7 linked regions of the Macaca mulatta genome follow. The protein of the gene in region 1 binds, or shares a complex with, the protein of each later gene. Links are inferred from orthologs where the notes say so. Each region holds a gene or a part of one and is shown in the gene's direction. Other genes may lie near its edges.

Evidence for each region.
Region 2: SMARCB1 (region 1) and SMARCD1 share a complex: the UniProt entries of both Homo sapiens proteins name them as parts of the BAF complex. The link is inferred for Macaca mulatta from reciprocal best matches to the Homo sapiens genes SMARCB1 and SMARCD1.
Region 3: SMARCB1 (region 1) and DPF3 share a complex: the UniProt entries of both Homo sapiens proteins name them as parts of the BAF complex. The link is inferred for Macaca mulatta from reciprocal best matches to the Homo sapiens genes SMARCB1 and DPF3.
Region 4: SMARCB1 (region 1) and PBRM1 share a complex: the UniProt entries of both Homo sapiens proteins name them as parts of the SWI/SNF-B (PBAF) chromatin remodeling complex. The link is inferred for Macaca mulatta from reciprocal best matches to the Homo sapiens genes SMARCB1 and PBRM1.
Region 5: SMARCB1 (region 1) and SMARCD3 share a complex: the UniProt entries of both Homo sapiens proteins name them as parts of the BAF complex. The link is inferred for Macaca mulatta from reciprocal best matches to the Homo sapiens genes SMARCB1 and SMARCD3.
Region 6: SMARCB1 (region 1) and ACTB share a complex: the UniProt entries of both Homo sapiens proteins name them as parts of the BAF complex. The link is inferred for Macaca mulatta from reciprocal best matches to the Homo sapiens genes SMARCB1 and ACTB.
Region 7: SMARCB1 (region 1) and ARID1A share a complex: the UniProt entries of both Homo sapiens proteins name them as parts of the neuron-specific chromatin remodeling complex. The link is inferred for Macaca mulatta from reciprocal best matches to the Homo sapiens genes SMARCB1 and ARID1A.

What each region holds. Positions count from the first base shown.
Region 1 is NC_133415.1:27,997,859-28,001,596, forward strand, and holds part of SMARCB1 (SWI/SNF-related matrix-associated actin-dependent regulator of chromatin subfamily B member 1), read left to right. Parts: intron 1-2,415; coding exon 2,416-2,606; exon of another isoform or gene 2,607-2,653; intron 2,654-3,738.
Region 2 is NC_133416.1:57,268,744-57,271,840, forward strand, and holds part of SMARCD1 (SWI/SNF-related matrix-associated actin-dependent regulator of chromatin subfamily D member 1), read left to right. Parts: intron 1-1,564; coding exon 1,565-1,687; intron 1,688-3,097. UniProt on the Homo sapiens protein: Involved in transcriptional activation and repression of select genes by chromatin remodeling (alteration of DNA-nucleosome topology).
Region 3 is NC_133412.1:145,763,803-145,767,540, reverse strand, and holds the end of DPF3 (zinc finger protein DPF3), read left to right. Parts: intron 1-2,492; coding exon 2,493-2,574; intron 2,575-3,108; coding exon 3,109-3,179; 3' UTR 3,180-3,653; downstream 3,654-3,738. UniProt on the Homo sapiens protein: Belongs to the neuron-specific chromatin remodeling complex (nBAF complex).
Region 4 is NC_133407.1:116,168,807-116,172,544, reverse strand, and holds part of PBRM1 (protein polybromo-1), read left to right. Parts: intron 1-2,166; coding exon 2,167-2,809; intron 2,810-3,738. UniProt on the Homo sapiens protein: Involved in transcriptional activation and repression of select genes by chromatin remodeling (alteration of DNA-nucleosome topology). Required for the stability of the SWI/SNF chromatin remodeling complex SWI/SNF-B (PBAF).
Region 5 is NC_133408.1:190,671,583-190,675,320, reverse strand, and holds the end of SMARCD3 (SWI/SNF-related matrix-associated actin-dependent regulator of chromatin subfamily D member 3), read left to right. Parts: intron 1-27; coding exon 28-123; intron 124-281; coding exon 282-383; intron 384-606; coding exon 607-768; intron 769-1,728; coding exon 1,729-1,826; intron 1,827-1,941; coding exon of another isoform or gene 1,942-2,004; coding exon 2,005-2,140; intron 2,141-2,503; coding exon 2,504-2,626; intron 2,627-2,752; coding exon 2,753-2,854; intron 2,855-3,095; coding exon 3,096-3,149; 3' UTR 3,150-3,254; downstream 3,255-3,738. UniProt on the Homo sapiens protein: Involved in transcriptional activation and repression of select genes by chromatin remodeling (alteration of DNA-nucleosome topology).
Region 6 is NC_133408.1:43,744,576-43,748,984, reverse strand, and holds the start of ACTB (actin, cytoplasmic 1), read left to right. Parts: upstream 1-1,442; 5' UTR 1,443-1,460; intron 1,461-2,318; 5' UTR 2,319-2,324; coding exon 2,325-2,447; intron 2,448-2,581; coding exon 2,582-2,821; intron 2,822-3,265; coding exon 3,266-3,704; intron 3,705-3,798; coding exon 3,799-3,980; intron 3,981-4,096; coding exon 4,097-4,240; 3' UTR 4,241-4,409. UniProt on the Homo sapiens protein: Actin is a highly conserved protein that polymerizes to produce filaments that form cross-linked networks in the cytoplasm of cells.
Region 7 is NC_133406.1:214,286,732-214,290,975, reverse strand, and holds the start of ARID1A (AT-rich interactive domain-containing protein 1A), read left to right. Parts: upstream 1-1,383; 5' UTR 1,384-1,435; coding exon 1,436-2,581; intron 2,582-4,244. UniProt on the Homo sapiens protein: Involved in transcriptional activation and repression of select genes by chromatin remodeling (alteration of DNA-nucleosome topology).

The sequences.
Region 1 (3,738 bases):
GCCTTTGGAATGTTTGTCTCTCTTGTGCCTCTCCTTGGTAGACACACAGTCTAGACTTTGGAATAAATGAATGTGTTAGTGACTGAATGGCAGGGGACAGGCAGCTCCATCCATGAGCCCAGGGCAGGGAGGGCTTGCTGGGTGGGAGCCATGTGCCCACGGTCCTAGGGAGTCCTGTTGGGTGGTTCCCTGGGCTGTCTGCTGCTGCATGCTCTTTTCGGACCCAGCACCCACATGGTTTGCTTGGCATTAGATTCCAGTTGGGAAGGGCTAGTACCTCCTGTTCCGGTCATCATCAGGCATAGGCATATGTGGAGATAGCAAAGGACATGGGGGCCTGACTGCAGCCCCCATTGCCTGGCTGCATGCCATGTACAGGATGGTGCAGCTCTGCCCCTTGGCTTCCTCCCTCTGCGTGCGGATTCCTTCATTCCCAGAACAAATACACCCTGCCTATGCTAGGATTCCTGGAGGCAAATGATTCAGATTGTTTCAGACAGTCCTAAGTGCTGTGAAGAAAATAGGAGAGGTGCCAGCATGGTGGCCTGCATGTATAGTCCCAGCTACTCAGGAGACTGTTGGGGGAGGATCTTTTGAGGCCAGCCTGGGCCAACACAGAGAGGCAGCAGGGAAGCCTGGGGGAGCAGAGGGCTCAACCGTAGGGTCTCTTCTCTGCTCAAAACACTTGATATATTGCCTGGGCCTTGTAGAGACCTTGGCTCTACAAAACAAATTAGCCAGACATGGTAGTGCCTGTCCGTAGTCCCAGCTTCTCAGGAGGCTGAGGCAGGAGGGTCCCTTGAGCCCAGCAGTTCAAAGCTGTAGTGAGTCATGATCATGTTAGTGCACTCCAACCTGAGTGACAGAGTGACATCCTGTCTCCCAAGGGGGAGAAAATGGAGAGAAGGGTGTGGAAAGGGGCTGATGGGAAGGGGAGCTCTCAGGAGCTGGCACTTTAGCTTAGACCAGGATGCTAAGAAGAGGCTGGCCCTGCCAGGTGAGGGGAAGACCATGCTAGCAAGTGGGTGGTGGTGTGCAGGGCTCTGAGGCACAGGGCTTTATGAACATGATTGGGGGTTGGGGTGCCCTCATCTCTAAAAGGGGGCAGAAGTCCCCGGAAGGGCTGGGCTCCAAGGCAGTGGTGAGTTCTTCCTGCAACTGCCCACCCTGATCCTTGACTTAAAACCTAAGGACAGGCGGGGCGCGGTGGCTCACGCCTGTAATCCCAGCACTTTGGGAGGCCGAGACGGGCAGATCACGAGGTCAGAAGATCGAGACCATCCTGGCTAACACGGTGAAACCCCGTCTCTACTAAAAATACAAAAAAATTAGCTGGGCGTGTTGGCAGGCACCTGTATTCCCAGCTACTCGGGAGGCTGAGGCAGGAGAATGGCATGAACCCGGGAGGCAGAGCTTGCAGTGAGCCGAGATCGCGCCACTGCACTCCAGCCTGGGCGACGGAGCAAGACTCCGCCAAAAAAAAAAAAATCTAAGGTGAATGGGCAGGTGCCCTGTGGCCTGCTTGCCCCATGGAGCACTGGACAGCAATGAGGGATGACCCCAGCCCCACACTCTAGTGGGAGGAGTCTTGCAAGCATGACGCAGAGTGAATGAAACTGGACCCCGAAGGGTCCATCTTATTCAGAAGAGCCATACCTACTCAAGGAGTGAGAAGTCAAAATGGTGCTTCCCCAGGCGGGGCGGGCATAGGTGGGAGCTCCTGGGGTACAGTCTGTGTTTTCTCCGGCTGGGTGCTGGCTTCCCAGGTGTCCACTGGTTAAAACCCCCTGACAGCACACCCAGGGCCTGGGCCCTCTGGCTGTGAGTCATGCGCTGCAGGGAGTCCTCTGGGGAGTGTGGGAGGAGCTGGCCCAGCACTGTGCTCCCCACAGGCTTCCCTGTCGCCTCGCTGTGTTAGCCTAGAGTGCGGTGCATCTGTGAATGTGCTAGGCAGGGTTTTCTGAGAGGGGCAAGCTCTGTAAAGGCATAGACATTGGCTTAAGACAGGACTTAGGGATGCCTTAGCTGAGGCCTGCCTGGCCGATGTAGTCACATAAGACCGATGGCAGCAGGAGCGAAGGGCAGAAAGGAAGGTCTCCACCAGCACAGGGTACAGCGGGGATGGGATGAAGGTAAGATGGGACTCAGGTGCCCCCGGGGTCACTTCAGGGCCTCTTGAGGGTGACTGTGCTGGGCCCTGAGCCAGAGCCCCTCATGGCAGACAGGAGGGTTGTGGGGTCAGCCTTGTTTTGGGGATGGGAAACTGGAAGGACAAGGGCCACCTGCAGTTCTCAGCCGGTGGACCCTGGTGGGCAGGGTGCGCCGCAGGCCTGGCAGGCCCCCGCTCCTCGCGGCCTCCCTGGGCTGGGGGCAGTCCCAAAGGCTCTAACTCATGTCCTTTGGTTGTCGTCACAGCTGAACATCCATGTGGGAAACATTTCCCTGGTGGACCAGTTTGAGTGGGACATGTCAGAGAAGGAGAACTCGCCAGAGAAGTTTGCCCTGAAGCTGTGCTCAGAGCTGGGGTTGGGCGGGGAGTTTGTCACCACCATCGCATACAGCATCCGGGGACAGCTGAGCTGGCATCAGAAGACCTACGCCTTCAGGTAGGATCGCGCACGAGTCTCTCCCTCCCTCATCTCCCTGCAAAACTGTTTTGAGAAAAAGACTTCTCTGTGTGAGTGGTGATACCTTTGAGGCTTTCTCAAGCTTCGCAGCACCATCTGGCTGGGGTCTGTGTGTTTGCTGTGTCCCCCTCCTGCCCTGTGTGTCTCACCGGGACTCCGCTGTACCAGGTAGGGTTAGAAGCACTTAACGCAATAGCTGGCAAAGACTTGAGTTCCGTCAGGGCGAACCTCAAGTCCTTACCTCCACGGAGCCCTGGGCCTGCCCCCCGCCATCCACCATTCAGTCATCCTGCCCCACACCTTCTCTCTCTGCTCTTGCCCAGACTGTTATTTTGGTCAGGGTGGCCCCTGCCCAGGGTTCTTCATCTGTTGAACTTGAATTCTGTCTGAAACACAAAGGCCCGCCCAGCTTTCAAGAGTCAGGGGTCCCTGGCAGTTCCTTCTTACTGTAGTAACTCTGCCTTTGGTCAGTCAGAGAGCATTTGATGAGTACCATGCTGGGCTGGAACCCATCCTGGCTGCCCTGGAAGATAGAGACAGGTCACCTTGATCCCTGCCTGCAGCATTTGGGCTGGCTGAGAAGGTGGTGGAGGTGTGAACAGAATATTCCAGTCCAGTGTCCTCTGTGCTAGGGATGGGGATGGACCTGGGAGAGGCCCTCCTGTTTCTGGCAGGAGGTAGGACTTAGAGTTAAAAGCGAGGTCAGGGCCCAGCACAGTGGCTTACACCTGCAGTCCCAGCACTTCGGGGAGCTGAGGTGGATCGCCAGAACCCAGTAGTTCAAGACCAGCCTGGGAAAAACATGGGGAGACCCCCTCTCTACAAAAAATACCAGAATGAGCCAGGCATGTTGGTGCACACCTGTAGTTTCAGCTACTCAGGAAGCTGAGGTGGGAGGATCACCTGAGCTCAGGAGGTCGAGGCTGCAGTGAGCCAAGATCATGCCACTGCACTCCAGCTTGGGTGACAGAGTGAGACCCCATCTCCAAAAAAAAAAAATAGCAAGGTCGAGCTCTCCCGGCTCAGCGGGACTCTGGGACTGGGAAGCCCTGTGGTTTCTAACCGTGTCCTCTGTGTTGGGACAGGGTGGGGGTGCGGCAAGCATCCCTAC
Region 2 (3,097 bases), on another chromosome or scaffold:
AAGGGAGGCTTTGCTGGAAGAGTTGATGCCCCAACTAAATCTTGTTTTTTTTTTTTTTTTTTTTTTTTTTGAGATGGAGTCTTGCTCTGTCGCTTAGGCTGGAGTGCAATGGCGTGATCTTGGCTCACTGCAACCTCCGTCTCCTGGGTTCAAGTGATTCTCCTGTCTCAGCCTCCTGAGTAGCTGGGACTACAGGTGCCCGCCACCACGCCCAGCTAATTTTTGTATTTTTAGTAGAGACGGGGTTTCACCATATTAGTCAGACTGGTCTTGAACTCCTGACCTCAGGTGATCCACCCGCTTCGGCCTCCCAAAGTGCTGGTATCACAGGTGTGAGCCACCGCGCCCAGCCCTAATGAAATCTTGAAGGACAAAGTAGGTGTTAATGAAAGGGCAAAAAGGGTAGTGGTGCTGGGGGTATAGGAGGCAGAAGACATTCCAGAAAGAGGGAATAGGGCGTGTAAAGATCCAGAGAGGAGAGAGAGAGCCTGGTGTCTTAAAGAAGTACCAGCCATTTAGTGTGCTAGATACAGCATAGAGTGCCAGGGATGGGATGTTTTGGGAAGGAAAGCTAGATAGGGAGCCAGATGCCTAATCATGAAGAACCTTTGATTCAGGGAAGATTGGTTTATGTTTCATCCTGAAGACTTGTGTTGAGAGATCATTACCAGTGGAGGGACTGATGCTATTTGTATGTAGAATCATCATTGCAGGAAGGTGGAGAATAATTTGTCAGAGGGCAGGGCTGGAGGCAGGAAGCCCAGTTAGGAGGCTGGTGCAGTAATCCATGTGAGACATGTTGAGGCCCTACATTTACAGTCCCGACAGTCAGGGTGGAGATAAGTAGATAGATTTGAGAGGTGTCAAAGTGCAATTGAAGGAATTTGGCCACTGTTGGGATTAGAGTGAGGGGTGAATGAGAAGGAAATGTTATGATGCCTCCCAGGTCTCTAGCTTGGGTGGATAGTAGTATTTACTATGACTGGGAAGAGGGGAGGAGGAGGAGCAGGTATTGGAGAAAGGGTAGTGAATTTAATTTTAGAGATGTCAAGTTTAAGCAGTCGGTTTGGTTGGAGTATAGAAAATAGACTCTGGGCTGCAGACTGGGGACTCATTATACTGTCAGTGGTAGTGGAAGACATACAAGTCAAAGAAATTGCTGGGAGGAGTATGTAGAATGAGAAAAGAGTTGAGAACAAAACCCAGAGATGAGAGCTTATGAGACAGCCCCATATGCCAGTCCTTTTCTTCCTGAGAACACTTTTGGACCCATTTGGGCTGTGGAGTAAGTATTCATCATGTAGCTTTGCCCATAGTGGGCACTGAGGAGACCAAAAGGAAAACTTTCCTCACACGGGGTGTACAGAGAGACACAAACAAGGGCAAATTACCTGCTGAAAGAATGCCAAGGGTCGGAGCAGTTGGAACTTTATATGATGGTACCAGCTGTGGGCAGCACTGTGACTAGGTTGGGAGTGGCATGTGGAGTTGTCAGGCACCACCTGCCATTTAACTTCTCATTTTTCTAGTTTGAAAATGGTATGGGCTTCGTTCTTCCTTTCAGATCCATGAGACAATAGAAACCATCAACCAGCTGAAGACTCAGCGGGAGTTCATGCTGAGCTTTGCCAGAGACCCTCAGGGTTTCATCAATGACTGGCTTCAGTCCCAGTGCAGGGACCTCAAGGTAAAGAACCTAGGAGAGGTCTGAAGGGACTTAGGTCAGTGAGGCACACACCTGCTTTATTTATGTAGCAGCTGGTAGAAGACCCAGAGGAAGGAGTAAGGGGCCAGATTTTTCTTTAGCATGTTCCAGGGTCCATTTTGCAATTAAGCAGGGAAATGGGGGCAGACCCATCACGTGTTGATTTAGTACTTACTTTGTCTGTCACTGTGCTTCATCTTGTCAGGGATACAGAGTGGAAGACCTGATCTCTGCTTTCAAAGCAGCCTACGTTCTGTCTGAAGAAACTAGGCTAGTATAGCCGGGCACTGTGGCTCACACCTGTAATCCCAGCACTTTGGGAGGCTGAAGCCGACAGAACGCTTGAAGTCAGGAGTTTGAGACGAGCCTGGCCAACATGGTGAAACCCTGTCTCCACTAAAAATACAAAAATTTAGCCGGGCGTGGTGGTGTGCACCTGTAATCCCAGCTACTTGGGAGGCTGAGGCAGGAGAATCACTTGAACCCAGGAAGCAGATGTTGCAGTGAGCCAAGATCGTGCCACTGCACTCCAGCCTGGGTGACAGAGCGAGACTCCGTCTCAAAAAAAAAAGAGAAACTAGGCTAGTGTGATACAAAGTAGTAAACCATGTAAGACATTATCAGGCCAGGCGTGGTGGCTTACGCCTGTAATCCCAGTACTTTGGGAGGCTGAGGAGGGCAGATCACCTGAGGTCAGGAGTTTGAGACTAGCCTGGCCAACACAGTGAAACCCCATCTCTACTAAAATACAAAAATCAGCCAGACATGGTGGCAGGTGCCTGTAATCCCAGTTACCCAGGAGGCTGAGGCAGGAGAATCGCTTGAACCCGGGAGACGGAGGCTGCAGTGAGCCGAGATCGCGCCACTGCACTCCAGCATGGCTGACAGAGTAAGACTCCATCTCAAAAAAAAAAAACAGACATTATCAGACTGACCAGGATCAATAAGGTAATTCAGAGAAGGGAGATCAGTGAAACTAGAATCTCTGGGGAAGGCTTCATGGAAAATTTGGGATTTGAAGACATTTCTCAGAAAGGGGAGCACAGTAAGCTCAGTCTAGTAGATAGGAATGGGCACAGAGTATGAACCCATCAGTTCTCACCCCTCCTGTGCTGACTGTGACTAGTTAGGCTGAGCAGAGGAGCAAGGGAAAAGGGATGCCAGGAAAGATCCCTGAACAAGGCAATGACTTGTTGATTGCAGAGGTGACTGGGTGTTGTATCAGTTTGCTGAGGCTGCTGTAGCAAACTACCACAAACTACCACAAACTGGGCAGTTTTAAACAACAGGTTTGTCTCACAGTTGTGGAGGCTGGAAGTCCAAAATTAGCGTGGGCAGTGCTGCTTCCTTCCGTGAGCTGGGAGGGAGACTCTGTTCTGTGCATCGCTCAGC
Region 3 (3,738 bases), on another chromosome or scaffold:
TCCTAACTTGTCTCTCCTTGTATTATCCTATTATCCCTAAATCAAATTGTCCTGTAGCTTATTCTGGTTCTACAATAATGATGTAACTTTTTTGGCGTAAACTACAGTGTGCTCGTCTTCATCCTACCTCTCTGACTGTTCCTTCTCAGTCTTTTTTTCTCTGCCTACCCTGTAAAGTTGGAGTACCCCAAGTGTCTATTCTTGACCTTCTTCTCAGTAAATTCTTTTGGGTCCTTGATCTTAATCTCTTTTGGGTCCTTGATCTTTCAGATAATTCAATGAAAGCTATGAATTTACTCTTTCCATAGAAACATGTACTTTCTACCTATGTACAAAATTGTATGTATCATTTCAAGGGGTTCATGGACACTCCTCCATGAAGACAAGTTCAAAGACATTTGCTTTCACACATTCCAGGCTTCCTCTCCTAGGACCTTCATTTGCCATCTAGTTACAATGACTCCCAAATCCATATCTCACACCCAGACTTCTCTCCTGCTCTCTTCAACAGCCTCCAGGTCATCCCTATCTGTAGAACATGTCTATAGCTGAGGTTGCCCTCTCCCTCCCATGAGTCTGCTCTTCCTCCCATGTCCCAATGGGTGACTGTATCATCAGGCTTGCTGACCAAGCCACAACCCAGAGGGCATCCTTGGCTTCTTCCCTATCACTCTCCCCATCTAATCAATGATGCTTAAATGGGAGCAAGACCCATTTCTTTCTCCATGCCACAGTCGTAATTCAGGCCACAATCATCACGCATCTGGATAGCTATAGCAGCTTCCTAACTGGTCCCCTGGCCTCTTGAATGAACCTCTCTCCCACTGGGTATCTACGCTTACATAGCAGCTAGTAAGATCTTTCTAAACTGCAATCTGATCATATCACTGCCCAGTTGATAACTCTTCAAAAGCTCTCCTGTTGCCCCACTGATGGATTTTAGCATGACAAAAAAAGCCCTCCTTGCTGGCTCCCTGGGGATTCCGACTGCTATATCTAATTTTATCCAGGATTTCTGCACTGGTGGGAGCCAAGGTGAGATTTGATACAAAACTTTATGTTGAAAAAGTCTTATAAGCCATCCAAACACTTTCAAAAATCACCAAATAGAACAGGGCTGAAACTAGGGGGTGGGGCCAGATCACAAACAGTTTCTGAGTAGCTCCTGTATGCAAGGAAGTCACTACAGTGGATGCAGTGATGAAGAAAACAAGATTTTCCCCCAAGGGCCTTATAGTCCATAAAGAGAATAAAGGGTGGAAAAAAGAGGCATGTTCCAAATTAATTAGTCAAGAAAACAAACATGTAGATGTTTTTTTTTTTTTTTTTTTTTGAGACAGAGTCTCACTCAGTTGCCTAGGCTGGAGTGCAGTGGTGCAGTCTTGGCTCACTGCAACTTCTACCTCCTGGGTTCAAGAGATTCTCCTGCCTCAGCCTCCTGAGTAGCTGGGATTACAGATGCACGCCACCATGCCCAGCTGATTTTTGTATTTTTAGTAGAGATGGGGTTTCACCATGTTGGCCAGGCTGGTCTTGAACTTCTGACCTCAAGTGAACCACCCACCTTGGCCTCCCTAAGTGCTGGGATTACAGGCATGAGCCACAGTGCCCGACCAAGAAAACAAGCGTGATTAGATGTCTACCACATGCCAGGCATGTAACATAAAGGAAAATGCATTTAAATGTCACAGAAAGGGAAAGTACCACCGGGCTCTGCAGGAGGGAAGACAGAACTTCCAGTTGAGGTAGATTAGCAAAGTCTTTGTGGAAAAGAAGTGCTTGAAGAAGATGTACTTGAAGGGCAGGCAGGGAATGGACATGCAGAGAAAGGGTCAGGGGTCTGGGAGAGCCTCTAGGCAGAAGTAGCCATTGGTGCAAAGATATGGCCTGTGTCCTTTGAAGTTAACCACAATCCTGGGGGGACCTGTTCTCACCTGGGCTCCAGCCTCCAGACAGTGAGGAAGCTTCTGGAAGCCAAGGGATGGCACTACTTGCATTTTTCTACATTCTAATGAAACCCTGAAGAGGTTCTGAGGTTCATCCCAGTACAGCTGTTGCCCATTTCACAGATGGAGGGAGTGGAATCCAGAAGAATTCAATTAAGATCTTCAAATATATAAAGTCATGGACAATAGAGACATTTTCTGCCCTTTGGAAGCAGAGCTATTGGCTCTGGAAGTTCAGAAGAATAAGGAATCCTTTTAAATTTGGATGTGAGGTGGTAGTCACAGAAGGCTTCTTGGAGGAGGTATGAGTTAAGCAGAACCCTAAAATAGGTGTAGGATTTATATAGGCTGGGAGGTAGAGGGGGAAACTCTAGGTGTGGGAAAAGCACAGGCATGTTCACGGAACAGTGAGGACTCCATGTGGGACCTGGAAAGGGGATCCAGTGAGGCCGATGTGGAAATAAGGCTGATGGGTAAGTAGGGGCCACACATTGGCCCCAAATAACGGAATCTCTCCTCCTCTGTGCTTGCTCTGTGTTCCACCAGGACCAGCTACTCTTCTGCGATGACTGTGACCGTGGCTATCACATGTACTGTTTAAATCCCCCGGTGGCTGAGCCCCCAGAAGGTAATGATGATGAGGTCAACAGTAACAACAGCAGCAGATACTACTACTACTAGCACTTACTGAGCTCTCACCATAGTACAGGCCTGTGCTAAGGGCTTTACATGTCCATGTCTTGTCTCATTTAATCGTCACAACCCCACAATGTAGGTACGACGACTGCCATTTTACAGATGAGGAAACTGAGGCACAGTCCAAGCAGCTTAAATTTCAACTTGAGGGCCGAGGAGGTTTTTCCCAGACATGCAGTGGAGATGCTGGGGAGGTGTGAGCTTCCAGGGGAACTAGCGCAGGGCCCGGCGACACTAGTTTGGAGGCATGACCAGGGAGTGAGGGTCTTGATAAGAGTTGAGCCCATCTCCTCTGAGCACCTGCTTTCTGCTGAGCCACAGACTCCGGCACGTTTTCAGGCCTGGGACTTGGTTTCTGCATTGCCGAAGTTCAAAGGAAACAGGGTTTACAAGAAGTTAGGGGCACTGGGGTGGGGCTCCAGAGTTAGCAGAGGGGCTGCTACTAAAGCCATCTCATTTCTTGCAGGAAGTTGGAGCTGCCACTTATGCTGGGAACTGCTCAAAGAGAAAGCCTCAGCCTTCGGCTGCCAGGCCTAGGGCCCTAGGTCACAGAATGTGACTTGCTGCTGGAGAGGCTAAAGCAGAGCCCAGCTCAAACCAGAACGCGCCCTCTTCCTACATATCCAGACAGACCAACTGTAAGGAAAAGAAATAGTCCCAGAGGGGCACGGACACATGGAACCAAGAGGGCGAGGCATCTCCTGACCGCCCCCGATATGTGCGGAACTTCAGCCAGCACCTCCTTGTTTCTACCGGAAGGAAGTTGCACTTCGGAAGAACACTGCCGGCCCTAGCCCTGTGGAACCCCTTTCACTTTTGCCCTAGCACCGAGGCCCTCTCATTGGTTCCCATTTTAAGGGAAGCCATTTCCTGACCACTCACCCATCATTGTGTGTAGTGTGGTGTTTTTTATCTATTGTGTTCCAAGAAATCTTCGCACAGCCCCCGCCCCCTCCAGCTTAGGCTCTTCATCCTGAAATTCTCACCCGAGGAATAAAGGGCTGTGGAGAAGTTGTTGTTTATGGCAAGCCTCACTGGAAACTTCTAGACTTGGGGTCTTGCAACCCCTTCTTGTTCCTTGGTGTCTGTGGAGACA
Region 4 (3,738 bases), on another chromosome or scaffold:
AAGTACAGTGGCCAGGGAGGTGACTCAGTCCTGTTTCACCATATTGGCCAGGCTGGTCTCGAACTCCTGACCTCGTGATCCGCCCACCTCGGCCTCCCAAAGTGCTGGAATTACAGGTGTGAGCCACCGTGCCCAGCCCAATACTTCTTTTAATCTGTAAACTCCCCTCCATCTCTCTCTTTTTCCACCCCTTACTATTTATCTGTTGAAGAAATTAGATTTGTGCTATAGTTTCCCATAGTCTGGATTTTGCTGATTGCATCCATATGTTGTGGGGGTTTTTGTGTGTGTTGTGTTTTGTTTCGTTTTGTTTTTTGGCGACAGGGTCTCACTCTGTCACCCAAGCTGGAGTGTAGTGGCACATTCTTGGCTCATTGCCACCTCCACCTCCCGACTGAAGCAATCCTCCCACTTTAGCCTCTCAGGTAGCTGGGACTACAGGTACACGCCACCACTTCCAGCTCATTTTTTTTGTATTTTTAGTAGAGACAGGGTTTTGCTATGTTGCCAGGCTGGTCTTGAACTCCTGGACTCAAGTGATCTGCCCACCTTGGCCTTCCACAGTGCTGGTATTACAGGCATGAGCCACCGCTCCTGGCCCACTCTGTTGTACTTTCATGTGTTCCTCTGTCCTTTGCACTTCCTGTAAATTGGTAGTTGGAGCCAGAGGTTTGATCAGATTGAGGTCTGATCCCCTATCCTCTCCCTTTGGCAGAAAAACCGACTTCATAGGTAATATATCATCTTCCATCAGGTACATGTGAAATCTATGTCTTTCTGTTAACTGGTGGTGTTGCATACTTCATTAATTATTAATTCATGAAAGGGATGTAAAATTGTGATCGTTTTTAATTTTATTCCTTACTAGCTCTAGAGAAACTTTGCCTTATCTGATATTTGATTAGCCAGTGGTACAGTGTTTTTCATGTGTGTGTCTTGCTTTTTGAAAGGATAAAGGCTTGATTTTTGTTTTATTTTGTTTTCCCCTTTACCAGTTTTCAAAATATGCATTGGTTTACTAACATCCTTCAATATTTACCCATTTTGTTGTTTGTTTATACATATTATTAAGAACTACCAGACTTAAACATGTGGCTGAGTTGTGATTGAAGTTATTGCCGTTATTGATACTCAGGCTGGTTCAGGCTGATTCCTATATTCTTTTTGTTTTGTTTTTTTTGAGACAGAATCTCGCTCTGTCGCCCAGGCTGGAGTGCAATGGCTTGATTTCAGCTCACTGCAACCTCTGCCTCCTGGGTTCAAGCAATTCTCCTGCCTCGCCTCCCAAGTAACTTGGATTACAGGCACCACCACCACACCCGGCTAATTTTTTGTATTTTTAATAGAGATGGGGTTTCGCCATATTGGCCAGGCTGATCTTGAACTCCTGACCTCAGGTGATCCACCCACCTTGGCCTCCCAAAGCGTTGGGGTTGCAGGCATGAGCCACCACGCCCAGATGGTTCCTATATTCTGTTGACATGAAGTCATGGTAAGAAGTCATTGATAGATTCTTTACTGTCTAGTGTTTGAAGATATACCAGACTGGGAATCAGTCATTTGCCAAGGAGCCCTACCTTTTTCATGTTTCTGCTAAAAGGTGAGGGTTCATCAACATTTGTATTTGGAATTAATATTTTAAAACTCTAGTGTGGGGTATACTGCTACTGATGTAGTCATTGTTTGTACGATTTTCAGTGGACAGAGCTAGGAAATTTGTATGTGTTTGTTCGTATGCTTATATTTAAAGATAAAATACATCGTAAGTTCATAGTGATACTTTCAATTGAGATTAAAGGCCTCAAGGTAATTATTAATGTCCTGTGTTTTAACATCCGTTATCTCTTTTTATCCCATGATGAAAATCTCAGTTCTCAGTGATACCAGAGGTGATAGAATGTCACATAGCTGCTCATTTGCTTTATTCCTTATTCACAGCTTTCTCAACCTTACAGTACTTAGTCTCCCATCAAAAATATGATTACTAAAAACAGTTAAAATTTTTTTTTTAGTTCTTTTTTGTCTGCAGGTTATATTTCACTATAGACATGCTAATTGCTGGGTTTTACAAATTATTTGGAATCGTAGCTTGTGGTTATGCTACCATCTGTATACAAATTTAGGTTCATTTATTTTATTCATTTAACTTTAAGTCTCTTTCTTTAGGTAGGAAGAGTGGCATTTCTCCTAAAAAATCAAAATACATGACTCCAATGCAGCAGAAACTAAATGAGGTCTATGAAGCTGTAAAGAACTATACTGATAAGAGAGGTCGCCGCCTCAGTGCCATATTTCTGAGGCTTCCCTCTAGATCTGAGTTGCCTGACTACTATCTGACTATTAAAAAGCCCATGGATATGGAAAAAATTCGAAGTCACATGATGGCCAACAAGTACCAAGATATTGACTCTATGGTTGAGGACTTTGTCATGATGTTTAATAATGCATGTACATACAATGAGCCTGAGTCTTTGATCTACAAAGATGCTCTTGTACTACACAAAGTCCTGCTTGAAACGCGCAGAGACCTGGAGGGAGATGAGGACTCTCATGTCCCAAATGTGACTTTGCTGATTCAAGAGCTTATCCACAATCTTTTTGTGTCAGTCATGAGTCATCAGGATGATGAGGGAAGATGCTACAGTGATTCTTTAGCGGAAATTCCTGCTGTGGATCCCAACTTTCCTAACAAACCACCCCTTACATTTGACATCATTAGGAAGAATGTTGAAAATAATCGCTACCGGCGGCTTGATTTATTTCAAGAGCATATGTTTGAAGTATTGGAACGGGCAAGAAGGATGAATCGGTATGTTTTCAAAGCCATTTTCATTTTGAGGATGTGTGCTATTTAATACAAAACAGATGAAAGAATATTGCTTTGATGTACTATTTCCACTTACGTACGTGATTGTAGTTGGTAGCATGCTATTCTGAATTCTAATTAGCCAGAACTTCTTAAGATCGAGTATATTCTATGGGGGAGAGAAGGCACACCACTAAGTCATCTAGATTAAGGCCAGTGAGGAGGAAGACAAAATTGAAGGTCTCTTGAAAAGCATAAACTTAAAATACAGCCTTTCGGCCGGGCGCGGTGGCTCAAGCCTGTAATCCCAGCACTTTGGGAGGCCGAGACGGGCGGATCACGAGGTCGGGAGATCGAGACCATCCTGGCTAACACGGTGAAACCCCGTCTCTACTAAAAAAACTACAAAAAACTAGCCGGGCGAGGTGGCGGGTGCCTGTAGTCCCAGCTACTCGGGAGGCTGAGGCAGGAGAATGGCGTGAACCCGGGAGGCGGAGCTTGCAGTGAGCTGAGATCCGGCCACTGCACTCCAGCCTGGGCGACAGAGCGAGACTCCGTCTCAAAAAAAAAAAAAAAAAAAAAATACAGCCTTTCACAGAATGTGTTTTATAAAAACATAAATGTTTCTAATTGGAAATAGTAACTGCATTTTTCTTTTAAGGTTTGGCTTCAATGCATGACTGCTTTAAATAAAATAGCTCCAAGGTATTGACCTGAGGTAGACTGATATAAATTTGATCACCATTTTAAGTACCTCAGAGGGCTTCTTTTTTTTTTTTTTAATCTCAGGTTTCTAGAGAGCTTGCTGAAGACATTAAATGTTTTAAAAGAAGCAAATTTAGATTTACATTAAACTTAAATTTCCTTCTAATTTTTATCTGTGATATATATTTGCTGCATATCAATATCAAACTTGACTATTAAATTCAGCA
Region 5 (3,738 bases), on another chromosome or scaffold:
CCCATGGTTCCTGTTCCTCTCCCACAGCCCAGCAAACAGAAGCGGAAGTTCTCTTCTTTCTTCAAGAGTTTGGTCATCGAGCTGGACAAAGATCTTTATGGTCCTGACAACCACCTTGTTGAGGTAAGACCAAGAGCCCCTCCGCCCTTGAATTGCCACCTTCCCACAGGCCAGAATCCCTGAAGAACGAGCACAGATTTGGGTCAGGGACCGCCCTAGAGTCCTGGGCCCCACCACTCCAGATGGGCCTTTGGGAGACACAGCTCTTCTCTCCTGGACAGTGGCATCGGACACCCACGACCCAGGAGACGGACGGCTTCCAGGTGAAACGGCCTGGGGATCTGAGTGTGCGCTGCACGCTGCTCCTCATGCTGGACTACCAGGTCTGCACCTGCCACGCTGCCCCATACACGCCACACAAGGCTCTCAGGGCAGGCCTAGGTCCCAAAGTGGTGCATCTCGAGAGACCTCCTTCCCCTCCCAACCCTATCCTTCCCCAGGGGCATGTTTCCTCAATCAACACATCCCCATAGTCCTGAATGGCCTGGCCCTGGGCTCCTTCCTTTCTCTCCCTTTGTTCTAACTTTCACGGTCCCCTTTTCTCAGCCTCCCCAGTTCAAACTGGATCCCCGCCTAGCCCGGCTGCTGGGGTTGCACACACAGAGCCGCTCAGCCATCGTCCAGGCCCTGTGGCAGTATGTGAAGACCAACAGGCTGCAGGACTCCCATGACAAGGAATACATCAATGGGGACAAGTATTTCCAGCAGGTAACCTCTCTCCTGAACCCTGGGATCTGGGGAGCAGGCAGAGTTCTCCAGCAGGGGAAGTACCTCTACCAAGGTAACTACCACCCCTCCCTTCTAGATTCCTGAGTAGCAGAAGCAATACACAGTCATGGTCTTGGAGCCAAGAGACCGACCAGGATTCTAGTTCAGGCCCTACTGTGGATTAGCTCTGTGCTGCAGTCAATCCATGTTAGCCCCCCCCAAGTTAGGAAGACCTGGAAACCCTACAAAGCCAACCGCTTTCTGGAATGTAATATTCTTGGCACTTGGAGTTAGGATCCCCAGGTTCTAGTCCTGAGTCTGGACTCTGGGTAAGTGACTCAGCGATTCTGAACCTTGTTTCCTTATCTTTGAAGTGGAGTGAAAATACCTGTCCTATCTACTCTCCTGGGCAGTTAGGAAAATCAAATTGCTGCAAAGGGATTCAGCAAAATTCCACCAAAACAGAGAATATTCTTATTAATGCATTTAAAAATAAATACAGCAGATAAACCTGAGGAGTTAAAACAGCAGTTGATATTTATTGGGCACTTACCATGTGCCAGGCACTGCTCCAAGCACCTTATGTGTATTAGTTCACTGCCTTCCCACGGCAGCCCTAGGAGATGGGTATTCTTTCCATCCCCACTCTAGAGATGAGCCCTGAGGTGTTAACTTGCTCCAGGCTGCATAGTAAGCGGCAGAGGCAGGAGTGATACATACACAGGCTGACTCAGGGCCTGCACTCTCAACCCCTGCCCCACAATGACCCACCCCCTACCTTGTCAGCCGTATGGGTGGCTCCACTGCCAGACCAGCCCACCCCAATCCCATCCCCATGCGCACTAAGGAATCAGACTTCCTCTCAGCTTCTTGCAGCCTTTCTAGAACAAAAGGATCTACAACTGCGTGATGATCTCTTCAAGAAGAGTGATCTCTCTCTCCCCAATTGTCCTGCTTCAGATTTTTGATTGTCCCCGGCTGAAGTTTTCTGAGATTCCCCAGCGCCTCACAGCCCTGCTATTGCCCCCTGACCCAATTGTCATCAACCATGTCATCAGGTGAGGTGGCCCCAGCTTGCTTCTCAGACCAGGGAATGATCTCGTTCCTGCCTTCCCTGCCCCTCCCTCTCCTCCCACTCCCATCTCTTCTCCCTCCCTGTTGGATCTGCCCCAGCCCCTGCGCCCTGGGGCCTGTATGGGGGCATCGTGGACACCAAGGGCTGGACTTCCCTGGCAGCGTGGACCCTTCAGACCAGAAGAAGACGGCGTGCTATGACATTGACGTGGAAGTAGAGGAGCCATTAAAGGGACAGATGAGCAGCTTCCTCCTGTCCACGGCCAACCAGCAGGAGATCAGTGCTCTGGACAGTAAGGTGGGGCCCAAGCCCAGAGCCGGAGTGGGATATTAACCCAGAGATGATAGAGGAGACTTTTCTGAGACCAGGGTGTGGCTGCAGATGAGCAGTCTGGGTTAAATTAAAAAATTAAAAAAAAAAAAAAAAAAAAGAGAGACCAGACTGTGGGCCAATGGGGCACAAATGGCCCTTCCATGCTGCTTGGAGTTGAACCTCATTCCAAGTTTAGTTCTGCCCATCCCCTCCGCCCCTGGGACTTCAGAGGAATCAGGGGCTCTGAGGGGTTGTCCTTCACAGGTCTCCCCTTCCCTCCCACTTCCTTTTCCCTCCTCTCCCACATCACCACAGCCAGGTGGAAAGCATCTATCTTTCTACCTGCAGATCCATGAGACGATTGAGTCCATAAACCAGCTCAAGATCCAGAGGGACTTCATGCTAAGCTTCTCCAGAGACCCCAAAGGCTATGTCCAAGACCTGCTCCGCTCCCAGAGCCGGGACCTCAAGGTGAAGAGGGAGACTCAGGGAGTACTGGAGTGGAAGACAAGCACATCGGGAAAGACAGTAAACGTTGTACTCCAGGGGCAGGTGAGGGGATTCGGGGCTCAGGGCTCACCCCACGCTCCCTCCCAGGTGATGACAGATGTAGCCGGCAACCCCGAAGAGGAGCGCCGGGCTGAGTTCTACCACCAGCCCTGGTCCCAGGAGGCTGTCAGTCGCTACTTCTACTGCAAGGTATGGAGGGACCCTTGCCCTAAGGCTTCCCCCTCCTCAACTCCAAGAGAAACCTCCCTGTTCAGCTTGTGGGCAGCCCTCACAGCTCCCTACAGTAAAGCTTCACCATACCGCCTCACCATGCAATGGCCCTCCCTGCTCCCAGATGCTCTTCCATGGCAGGCGGTGTCAGTAGGGGGGGGTTGTCCTGATCACTCACCAGGAACACTGACACCTGCTCCTGTTCTCACTTCCTCTAAAGATCCAGCAGCGCAGGCAGGAGCTGGAGCAGTCGCTGGTTGTGCGCAACACCTAGGAGCCCAGAAATAAGCAGCACGAGGGAACTTCCGGCCGTGCCCCGGGCCCCAGTGCTTTGCCCTGGGCTCCAGCATCACTCCTCTGCCACCTTGGGGTGCGGGGCTAGATTAAAAGTCATTCATCTGACAGCAGCCGCGTGGTCATTGGAAACTGGGGAGGGTGGGGGATGAAGGGGGAGGGAAGGGGGAGGGAAGAGGGTGAGGAGACAGTGGGTCCTTTTGGACAAACTCCCCATACCCTTCCCTTGGATTCTCCTCACTCAATTTTCCCTAGACCTAAAAAACAGTTTGGCAGAAGACACGTTTAATAACATTTTCATATTTTAAAAATACAGTGACAATTCTCTATCTGTCCACCATCTTGCCTTGCCCTTCCTGGGGCTGAGGCAGACAAAGGAAAGGTAAGGAGGTTAGGGCCCCGAGGCAGGCTAAGTGCTGTTGGCCTGCTCCTGCTCAAAGAGAGCCATGGCCAGCTGGGCACGGCCCCCCAGCCCCTCCAGGTTGCTGAGGCGGCAGCGGTGGTAGAGTTCCTCACAGAGCCGTGGGCTGCAGTCCCGCAGGGAGAACTTCTGCACCAGCCCTGGCTCT
Region 6 (4,409 bases), on another chromosome or scaffold:
GCTGCAAAGCCCCCTGAAGGCCTGACGTGCCCCCACCTCACCACCCTTCCTATTTTTGTGTAAAAATCCAGCTTCTTGTCACCACCTCCAAGGAGGGGGAGGAGGAGAAGGGCATGTTCCTCTAGGTTGAGCTGAATGCCCCTCTGTGGTCCCACGCCACTGATCACTGCATGTCCACCAGCTGGGTACATACAGTCTCTGATTCCCAGAGCAGAACGACCCTAGCCACCCGGGTCTTGTGTGCTACTGAGTGGACAGACCCGAGGCAAGAAAGGGTGACAAGGAGAGGGTCTTCCCAGGCTGGCTTTGAGCTCCTACCCCGCCCCGCCCCCAATCCTCTCTGGCACATGGAGTCTTGGTCCCCAGAGTCCCCCCGCGGCCTCCAGATGGTCTGGGAGGGCAGTTCAGCTGTGGCTGCGCATAGCAGACATGCAATGAACGGTGGGCGCAGACCCAGGCTGTGTAGACCCAGCCCCCACACCCCGCAGTGCCTGGAGCTGCCTGGGTCACCCACTAACGCCCCAGGCCTGGTCTTGGCTGGGCGTGACCGCGTTACCCTCAGAAGCAGCAGCTCCTGGGGAAACTTTCCCTGCCCCGTAGAGCCCACCTTCCCAGGGCCGTGGCTGGGTGGGTTTGCAGCTTTCATCACAGGCCACCTCAAGCCACTGGACCGCTGGCGCCTGCCCTGTCCTGGGCAGTGTGGTCCTGCGACTTCTAAGTGGCCGCGAGGCCCCTGACTCCCCCAACACCACACTCTACCTCTCAAGCCCAAGTCTCTCCCTAGTGACCCACCCAGCCCATTTAGCTAGCTGAGCCCCATAGCCAGAGGTCCCGAGACCTGCTTTCAGGGCAGTTGCTCTGAAGTCGGCAAGGGGGAGTGACTGCCTGGCCACTCCATGCCCTTCAAGGGCTCCTTCTGCAGGAGCGCACAGCACCCAGGACCCTGGCACCCGTGCAGACCCTGGCCCACCCGACCTGGGCGCTCAGTGCCCAAGAGATGTCCACACCTAGAATGTCCCGCGGTGGGTGGGGGGCCCGAGAGACGGGCAGGCCGGGGACAGGCCTGGCCATGCGGGGCCGAACCGGGCACTGCCCAGCGTGGGGTGCGGGGGCCACCGCGCGCGCCCCCAACCCCCGGGCCCAGCACCCCAAGGCGGCCAACGCCAAAACTCTCCCTCCTCCTCTTCCTCAATCTCGCTCTCGCTCTTTTTTTTTTTTTCGCAAAAGGAGGGGAGAGGGGGTAAAAAAATGCTGCACTGTGCGGCGAGGCCGGTGAGTGAGCGGCGCGGGGCCAATCAGCGCGCGCCGTTCCGAAAGTTGCCTTTTATGGCTCGAGCGGCCGCAGCGGCGCCCTATAAAACCCGGCGGCGCGACGCGCCTCCACCGCCGAGACCGCGTCCGCCCCGCGAGCACAGAGCCTCGCCTTTGCCGCTCCGCCGCCTGTTCACACCCGCCGCCAGGTAAGCCCGGCCAGCCGACCCTGGTAGGCGGCTCCCGGCTCGGCTGCCTAAGGCCGCGGCCCCTTCGCCTGTGTAGAGCCGCCTGCGCCGCAGCGGGGGTCGCATGTGGGGACTGGACTGCAGTGGGGGACGCGGGAGAAGCCCCTGGGCCTCCAGAGATGTGGGGACACCCCGCTTCAGTTTGGCGGCGCGGGGCCCTGCTCGGGAGGCGCGCTCTGGGGGTGCTGCTCTCGGGATGGGGGCAGCCGGCGGGGTCTTTGTCCGAGCCGGCTTCTTGCCAGTGGGAACTGCAGGGTGGGCGCGGCGGAGCCCCCCCGCCAGGCTCGGTGGGGGGCTGGGGCGCCATTGCGCGTGCGTCCTGGGGCTTGGGGCGCTAACTCTGCGTGCGCGCTGGGAATCGGCGCTAGTTGCGCGTGCGCGCTGGGACTCCAGGCGCTAATTGCGCGTGCGTTCTGGGGCCCGGGTGCCGCGGCCTGGGCTGGGGCAAGGGCTGGCCCCGCCGGAAGGGGTGGGGTCGCGGAGGCTCCAGGGCGCTTGCGCGCACTTCCTGCCCGCGCCGCCGGCCGCCTGAGGGTGTGGCCGCCGCGCGCGCGCGCGCCGACCCGGCGCTATTTGAACGGAGCGGAGGCGGGGCCGGCTCCCGGTTGGGAGGGGGTGGGGGCCTGGCTTCCTGCCGCGCGCGGTGGGGACGCCTCCGACCAGTGTTTGCCTTTTATGGTAATAACGCGGCCGGCCCGGCTTCCTTTGTCCCCAATCTGGGCGCGCGCCTGCGCCCCCTGGCGGCCTAAGGCCTCGGCGCGCCGGAAGTGGGCAGGGCGGGGGCCACCTCGGCTCACAGAGCGCCCGGCTTTCCCGCAGCTCGCCATGGATGATGATATCGCCGCGCTCGTTGTCGACAACGGCTCCGGCATGTGCAAGGCCGGCTTCGCGGGCGACGATGCCCCCCGGGCCGTCTTCCCCTCCATCGTGGGGCGCCCCAGGCACCAGGTAGGGGAGCTGGGTGGGTGGGGCGGGCCCGGGAGCGGGCGGGAGGCGAGGGCGCTTTCTCTGCACGGGGGTCTCCCGGTTTCTGGGGTGGGGGCCGCGCCCGTGCTTAGGGCGCCTTGTTTTTTCTTTCCTAGGGCGTGATGGTGGGCATGGGTCAGAAGGATTCGTATGTGGGCGACGAGGCCCAGAGCAAGAGAGGCATTCTCACCCTGAAGTACCCCATCGAGCACGGCATCGTCACCAACTGGGACGACATGGAGAAGATCTGGCACCACACCTTCTACAATGAGCTGCGTGTGGCTCCTGAGGAGCACCCCGTGCTGCTGACCGAGGCCCCCCTGAACCCCAAGGCCAACCGCGAGAAGATGACCCAGGTAAGTGGCCCGCTACCTCTTGTGGTGGCCACCGCCCTCTTTCCTGGTCTCCCGGAGCTGCGCCCTTTCTCACTGGTTCTCTCTTCTGCCGTTCTTCGTAGGACTCTCTTCTCTGACCTGAGTCTCCTTTGGAACTCTGCAGGTTCTATTTGCTTTTTCCCAGATGAGCTCTTTTTCTGGTGTTTGCCTCTCTGACTAGGTGTCTAAAACAGACAGTGCTGTGGGTATAGGTACTAACATTGGCTCGTGTGACAAGCCCATGAGGCTGGTGTAAAGCGGCCTTGGAGTGTGTATTCAGTAGGTGCACAGTAGGTCTGAACAGAATCCCCATCCCAAGACCCCAGCACACTTAGCAGTGTTCTTTGCACTTCCTGCATGTCCCCCATCTGGCCTGGCTGTCCCAGTAGCTTCCTGAGTGTGACATGGTGCATTTCTTCCTTACAGATCATGTTTGAGACCTTCAACACCCCAGCCATGTACGTGGCCATCCAGGCTGTGCTGTCCCTGTACGCCTCTGGCCGTACCACTGGCATCGTGATGGACTCCGGTGACGGGGTCACCCACACTGTGCCCATCTACGAGGGGTATGCCCTCCCCCATGCCATCCTGCGTCTGGACCTGGCTGGCCGGGACCTGACTGACTACCTCATGAAGATCCTCACTGAGCGCGGCTACAGCTTCACCACCACGGCCGAGCGGGAAATCGTGCGTGACATTAAGGAGAAGCTGTGCTATGTCGCCCTAGACTTCGAGCAGGAGATGGCCACGGCGGCTTCCAGCTCCTCCCTGGAGAAGAGCTACGAGCTGCCCGATGGCCAGGTCATCACCATTGGCAACGAGCGGTTCCGCTGCCCTGAGGCTCTCTTCCAACCTTCCTTCCTGGGTGAGTGGAGACCCGCCTCCCGGCCCTGCCTGACCTGAGGGTCACCCTTCGGGCTGTGCTGTGGAAGCTAAGTCCGCCCTCATTTCTTCCTCAGGCATGGAGTCCTGTGGCATCCACGAAACTACCTTCAACTCCATCATGAAGTGTGACGTGGACATCCGTAAAGACCTGTACGCCAACACAGTGCTGTCTGGTGGCACCACCATGTACCCTGGCATTGCTGACAGGATGCAGAAGGAGATTACTGCCCTGGCGCCCAGCACGATGAAGATCAAGGTGGGTGTCCTTCCACCCTGAGCTGACCTGGGCAGGTGGGCCATGGGGCCCTGTGGTGTGTGGGGAGCTGTCACATCCGGGGTTCTCACTGCCTGTTTGTTTCCTTCCCTCCTCAGATCATTGCTCCTCCTGAGCGCAAGTACTCTGTGTGGATCGGCGGCTCCATCCTGGCCTCGCTGTCCACCTTCCAGCAGATGTGGATCAGCAAGCAGGAGTATGACGAGTCTGGCCCTTCCATCGTCCACCGCAAATGCTTCTAGGCGGACTGTGACTTAGTTGCGTTACACCCTTTCTTGACAAAACCTAACTTGCGCAGAAAACAAGATGAGATTGGCATGGCTTTATTTGTTTTTTTTGTTTTGTTTTGGTTTTTTTTTGGCTTGACTCAGGATTTAAAAACTGGAACGGTGAAGGTGACAGCAGTCGGTT
Region 7 (4,244 bases), on another chromosome or scaffold:
ATTCTGATTCCATTGTTGAATGTGCTCACAACTTGACTTTTTTTTTTTTTTTTTTTTTTTTTAAGGCAAGTAGACCGAAGGCAGCTTTGGTGACTCCACTTCTTTTTAAAGTCACCCTCCTCTGCCCTCTGACTTTAAGTGACAGGCAGTTCCCTCCCCTCTTTCAATTCTGTAAAATGGGGATAATCCGGACCTCATGCCCCCAGAGCCTTGTGAGGACCGGCTAATGAGGGCAGGCGAGTGGGAAACGAATCATCTGAACAATGACCAGTCATTCCTTTGGGCTCGCAAAGAGGGTAAAAAGGCTGGGTCTTTAGCGGGGTCTGTAGAAGGCTTTGAAGACGAAAAGTGCTGTAGAGGTGCTAAACAGCAGCCAACGGACCGGGCCCGCTGCCAGGGGGTCAGGGCTGGGCCGAGGCGGCCGCGGTCTCGGGCTCTGGCCAATTTTGCAGTCGCGGGTAAAGTTCACGCTGCCCGCTCCCCTCGGTACGGCCGGGAGGGGACAGACCTGGATAGGGACGCCGGGAGGGAGGCGGCGCAGGCTCCAGAGATGCGCGGGCTCCGGGCCGGGTTTTCTCCGAAGCCTTCGGCGGCGGCGCTGCCTAGCGAAAGCGGCTAAGGGCCTGCCGCCGCCGCGGCTTGTTCTCTCCCCTCCTCCTTTGTGAGGGGTAGGGAGCGAGTCCGTTCCACGGCCTGCGCCCGCTCCGCTCTCCACTCCGGGTTTGCAAGGCGGCCGCGACGGCGCTGGGTAAAATGGCAGTGCTGAGCCTCGTGTCGGAGTGAGGGGGACTCGGAGGAGAGTGGGGCGCTCTAGCCGCTCAGTCCGGCCGACCGCTTTCTCGCCCGCCCGCTGCCGCGCCGCAGCCTCGACCCAAGCCGCGGCTGGCGAGGGAAGGCAGGGCGCCCGGCCCGGCCCGCGCTCTGACTCTGGCTCCCGGCGCCCGGGCTGCTGCCGCGCGCCCTCCAGCCCGCCCGTCCCGGGTCCCCCTCCCCCCGCTCCCTCCCTCCCTCCCCGCCCCCTCCCCCTCGCCTCCCTCCCTCCCTCCCTCCTCCTTTCTCCGGCAGCAGAAAGCGGAGAGTCACAGCGGGGCCAGGCCCTGGGGAGCGGAGCCTCCACCGCCCCCCTCATTCCCAGGCAAGGGCTTGGGGGGAATGAGCCGGGAGAGCCGGGTCCCGAGCCTACAGAGCCGGGAGCAGCTGAGCCGCCGGCGCCTCGGCCGCCGCCGCCTCCTCCTCCTCCGCCGCCGCCAGCCCGGAGCCTGAGCCGGCGGGGCGGGGGGGAGAGGAGCGAGCGCAGCGCAGCAGCGGAGCCCCGCGAGGCCCGCCCGGGCGGGTGGGGAGGGCAGCCCGGGGGACTCGGCCCCGGGGCGGGGTGGGAGGGGGGGAGAAGACGAAGACAGGGCCGGGTCTCTCCGCGGACGAGACAGCGGGGATCATGGCCGCGCAGGTCGCCCCCGCCGCCGCCAGCAGCCTGGGCAACCCGCCGCCGCCGCCGCCCTCGGAGCTGAAGAAAGCCGAGCAGCAGCAGCGGGAGGAGGCGGGGGGCGAGGCGGCGGCGGCGGCAGCGGCCGAGCGCGGGGAAATGAAGGCAGCCGCCGGGCAGGAAAGCGAGGGCCCTGCCGTGGGGCCGCCGCAGCCGCTGGGAAAGGAGCTGCAAGACGGGGCCGAGAGCAATGGGGGTGGCGGCGGCGGCGGAGCTGGCGGCGGCGGCGGGCCCGGCGCGGAGCCGGACCTGAAGAACTCGAACGGGAACGCGGGCCCTAGGCCCGCCCTGAACAATAACCTCACGGAGCCGCCCGGCGGCGGCGGTGGCGGCAGCAGCGATGGGGTGGGGGCGCCTCCTCACTCTGCCGCGGCCGCCTTGCCGCCCCCAGCCTACGGCTTCGGGCAACCCTACGGCCGGAGCCCGTCTGCCGTCGCCGCCGCCGCGGCCGCCGTCTTCCACCAACAACATGGCGGACAACAAAGCCCTGGCCTGGCAGCGCTGCAGAGCGGCGGCGGCGGGGGCCTGGAGCCCTACGCGGGGCCCCAGCAGAACTCTCACGACCACGGCTTCCCCAACCACCAGTACAACTCCTACTACCCCAACCGCAGCGCCTACCCCCCGCCCGCCCCGGCCTACGCGCTGAGCTCCCCGAGAGGTGGCACTCCGGGCTCCGGCGCGGCGGCGGCTCCCGGCTCCAAGCCGCCTCTCTCCTCCAGCGCCTCCGCCTCTTCGTCGTCTTCGTCCTTCGCTCAGCAGCGCTTCGGGGCCATGGGGGGAGGCGGCCCCTCCGCGGCCGGCGGGGGAACTCCCCAGCCCACCGCCACCCCCACCCTCAACCAACTGCTCACGTCGCCCAGCTCGGCCCGGGGCTACCAGGGCTACCCCGGGGGCGACTACGGCGGCGGGCCCCAGGACGGGGGCGCCGGCAAGGGCCCGGCGGACATGGCCTCGCAGTGCTGGGGGGCTGCGGCGGCGGCAGCGGCGGCGGCGGCGGCGGCGGCCGCCTCGGGAGGGGCCCAACAAAGGAGCCACCACGCGCCCATGAGCCCCGGGAGCAGCGGCGGCGGGGGGCAGCCGCTCGCCCGGACCCCTCAGGTACACAGCTGAGTGGGGAGGGGGCTGGGGCGAGCGTGGTCCTGGGGGTGGGTGGCGGCTGCGGTCAGCGGGCCACAGCCTTGGGCTCCCCTCAGTCTCGGGCCCCCACTGCTGGGGAGCTGCCATTGTCTGGCTCTTCTCTCTTAAAATGGCTGCCTGTCTGCCTTCCTCTCCTTTCCTCCTCCAGCCTTTGTGTCGGGCTTTCCCAGAGGTGTCTGCTTCTCTTGTTCCTCTCCCTTGGTCCCTTCGAACTCCAGGGGTCTTGATGGGGGTGCGGGGCAGAGTGTGTGGGGAAGGGCCTGGCCGGGAGTGAGGGGGTGCTGGGGGCTCAGGTTAGGAGTGTAGGCAGTGGTAGGAACCCAGGAGTTGAATGAACGTTTCTTTGCTCACCTGCCGCTCCTCTCCGTCCCCCGGCCTTCCTCTGGGCCGCCCCCCATCTGTGCTTTCAAAGAGGGCCCCTAGAGCTCGGAGGGACCTCGAGGGAGGGCAGGGGACTGCTTGGGAGCTGCTAGAGGCCGGCTGCGGTTCACCTAGGGCAGCCCTTGCCATCTCCTGTCTTAGGCTCCGCCGGCCCAGTGGCCTGGGCTTCTCTCTGGAAGTGCTGGTAAACAGCTGAGTGATTGGAGTAGTAAGTGCAGATTGCTTTGGTTTGGGATTTGAATTATGGAGGTAAAATCCTTCTGTCAAAGCCAGGAGACAGTTGGTCTTAGGTTGACATCCTATCTGTGATCTGATTGGCTCCCCATCTCCTGCTCTTGGCCATTTATAATTGCCTCTGATGTAATGGTACAACAATCCTGATGAGCTCATAAACTTTTACACTCTGCTTTTCTGCCAGTGATAACCCAAACCATCGCTGCCACTATCTGCCTTTTATTCCAGAGCTGAAATTGGCTGTGACCTTGAGGAGGGAGGTTTAAGTAGCAATACTGTATCAGCAGGAGCAAAGCCTCAGACAGCCTGCCCTTGTTACATTGTGCCCGAAACAAAAGAGGGGGCAATGGCATTTTGCTTGTACCTTGGATTTATTTTGCTTGTTATGTTTTATGCAGCCTGAAATGAATTCTGTGTTGTCAGAACAGTAGCTGAGTTTTTTCTCTACAATGGGTTTGCTGTTTGTTTTGGTTTTGTGACTTTCCTGATGGTATAAATGACTTCTTTGATGGCTCTGAAGATGCATTTGTCTTGAGTAATTTTGACACTGGTTGCTTTGCAGAATTGAAATGATTTTACTGGGGTTTTTATTGAGTGGCAAATGTGGGATCTTTGTGGGTGGGGGAGAAAACAATTTTCGTTTTTTAGTTTTTTTTTTTTAAGAACTGGGAGCTTTCTGAGGAATTTTATATTAGGTTCAAGCATTCTGTGTTATGGAAGGCTGGCCTCATTCTTTGTTTACATGTTGAATCTTGTTAACACTTTCTTTTGTTAATTGAACTTTGGAATAGCAGCTTAATTTAAACGGAAGTTGGTGTCTTTCATGATCTTGAGGGACTTTCTCCTAAAGGCTTGGTTTGGTGAAATTGTTTTTTCCTGGAATAACAAAAAGTCTAGTTTTCTGTTTTGTCATCAGTCATTTTAGAGCTTTGAAATAGAGACTGGCCAATTTATTCCTTTGCATTTTAATGTACCACTTTTTTTCTTGTCTTCCAAGACATGAAGATAT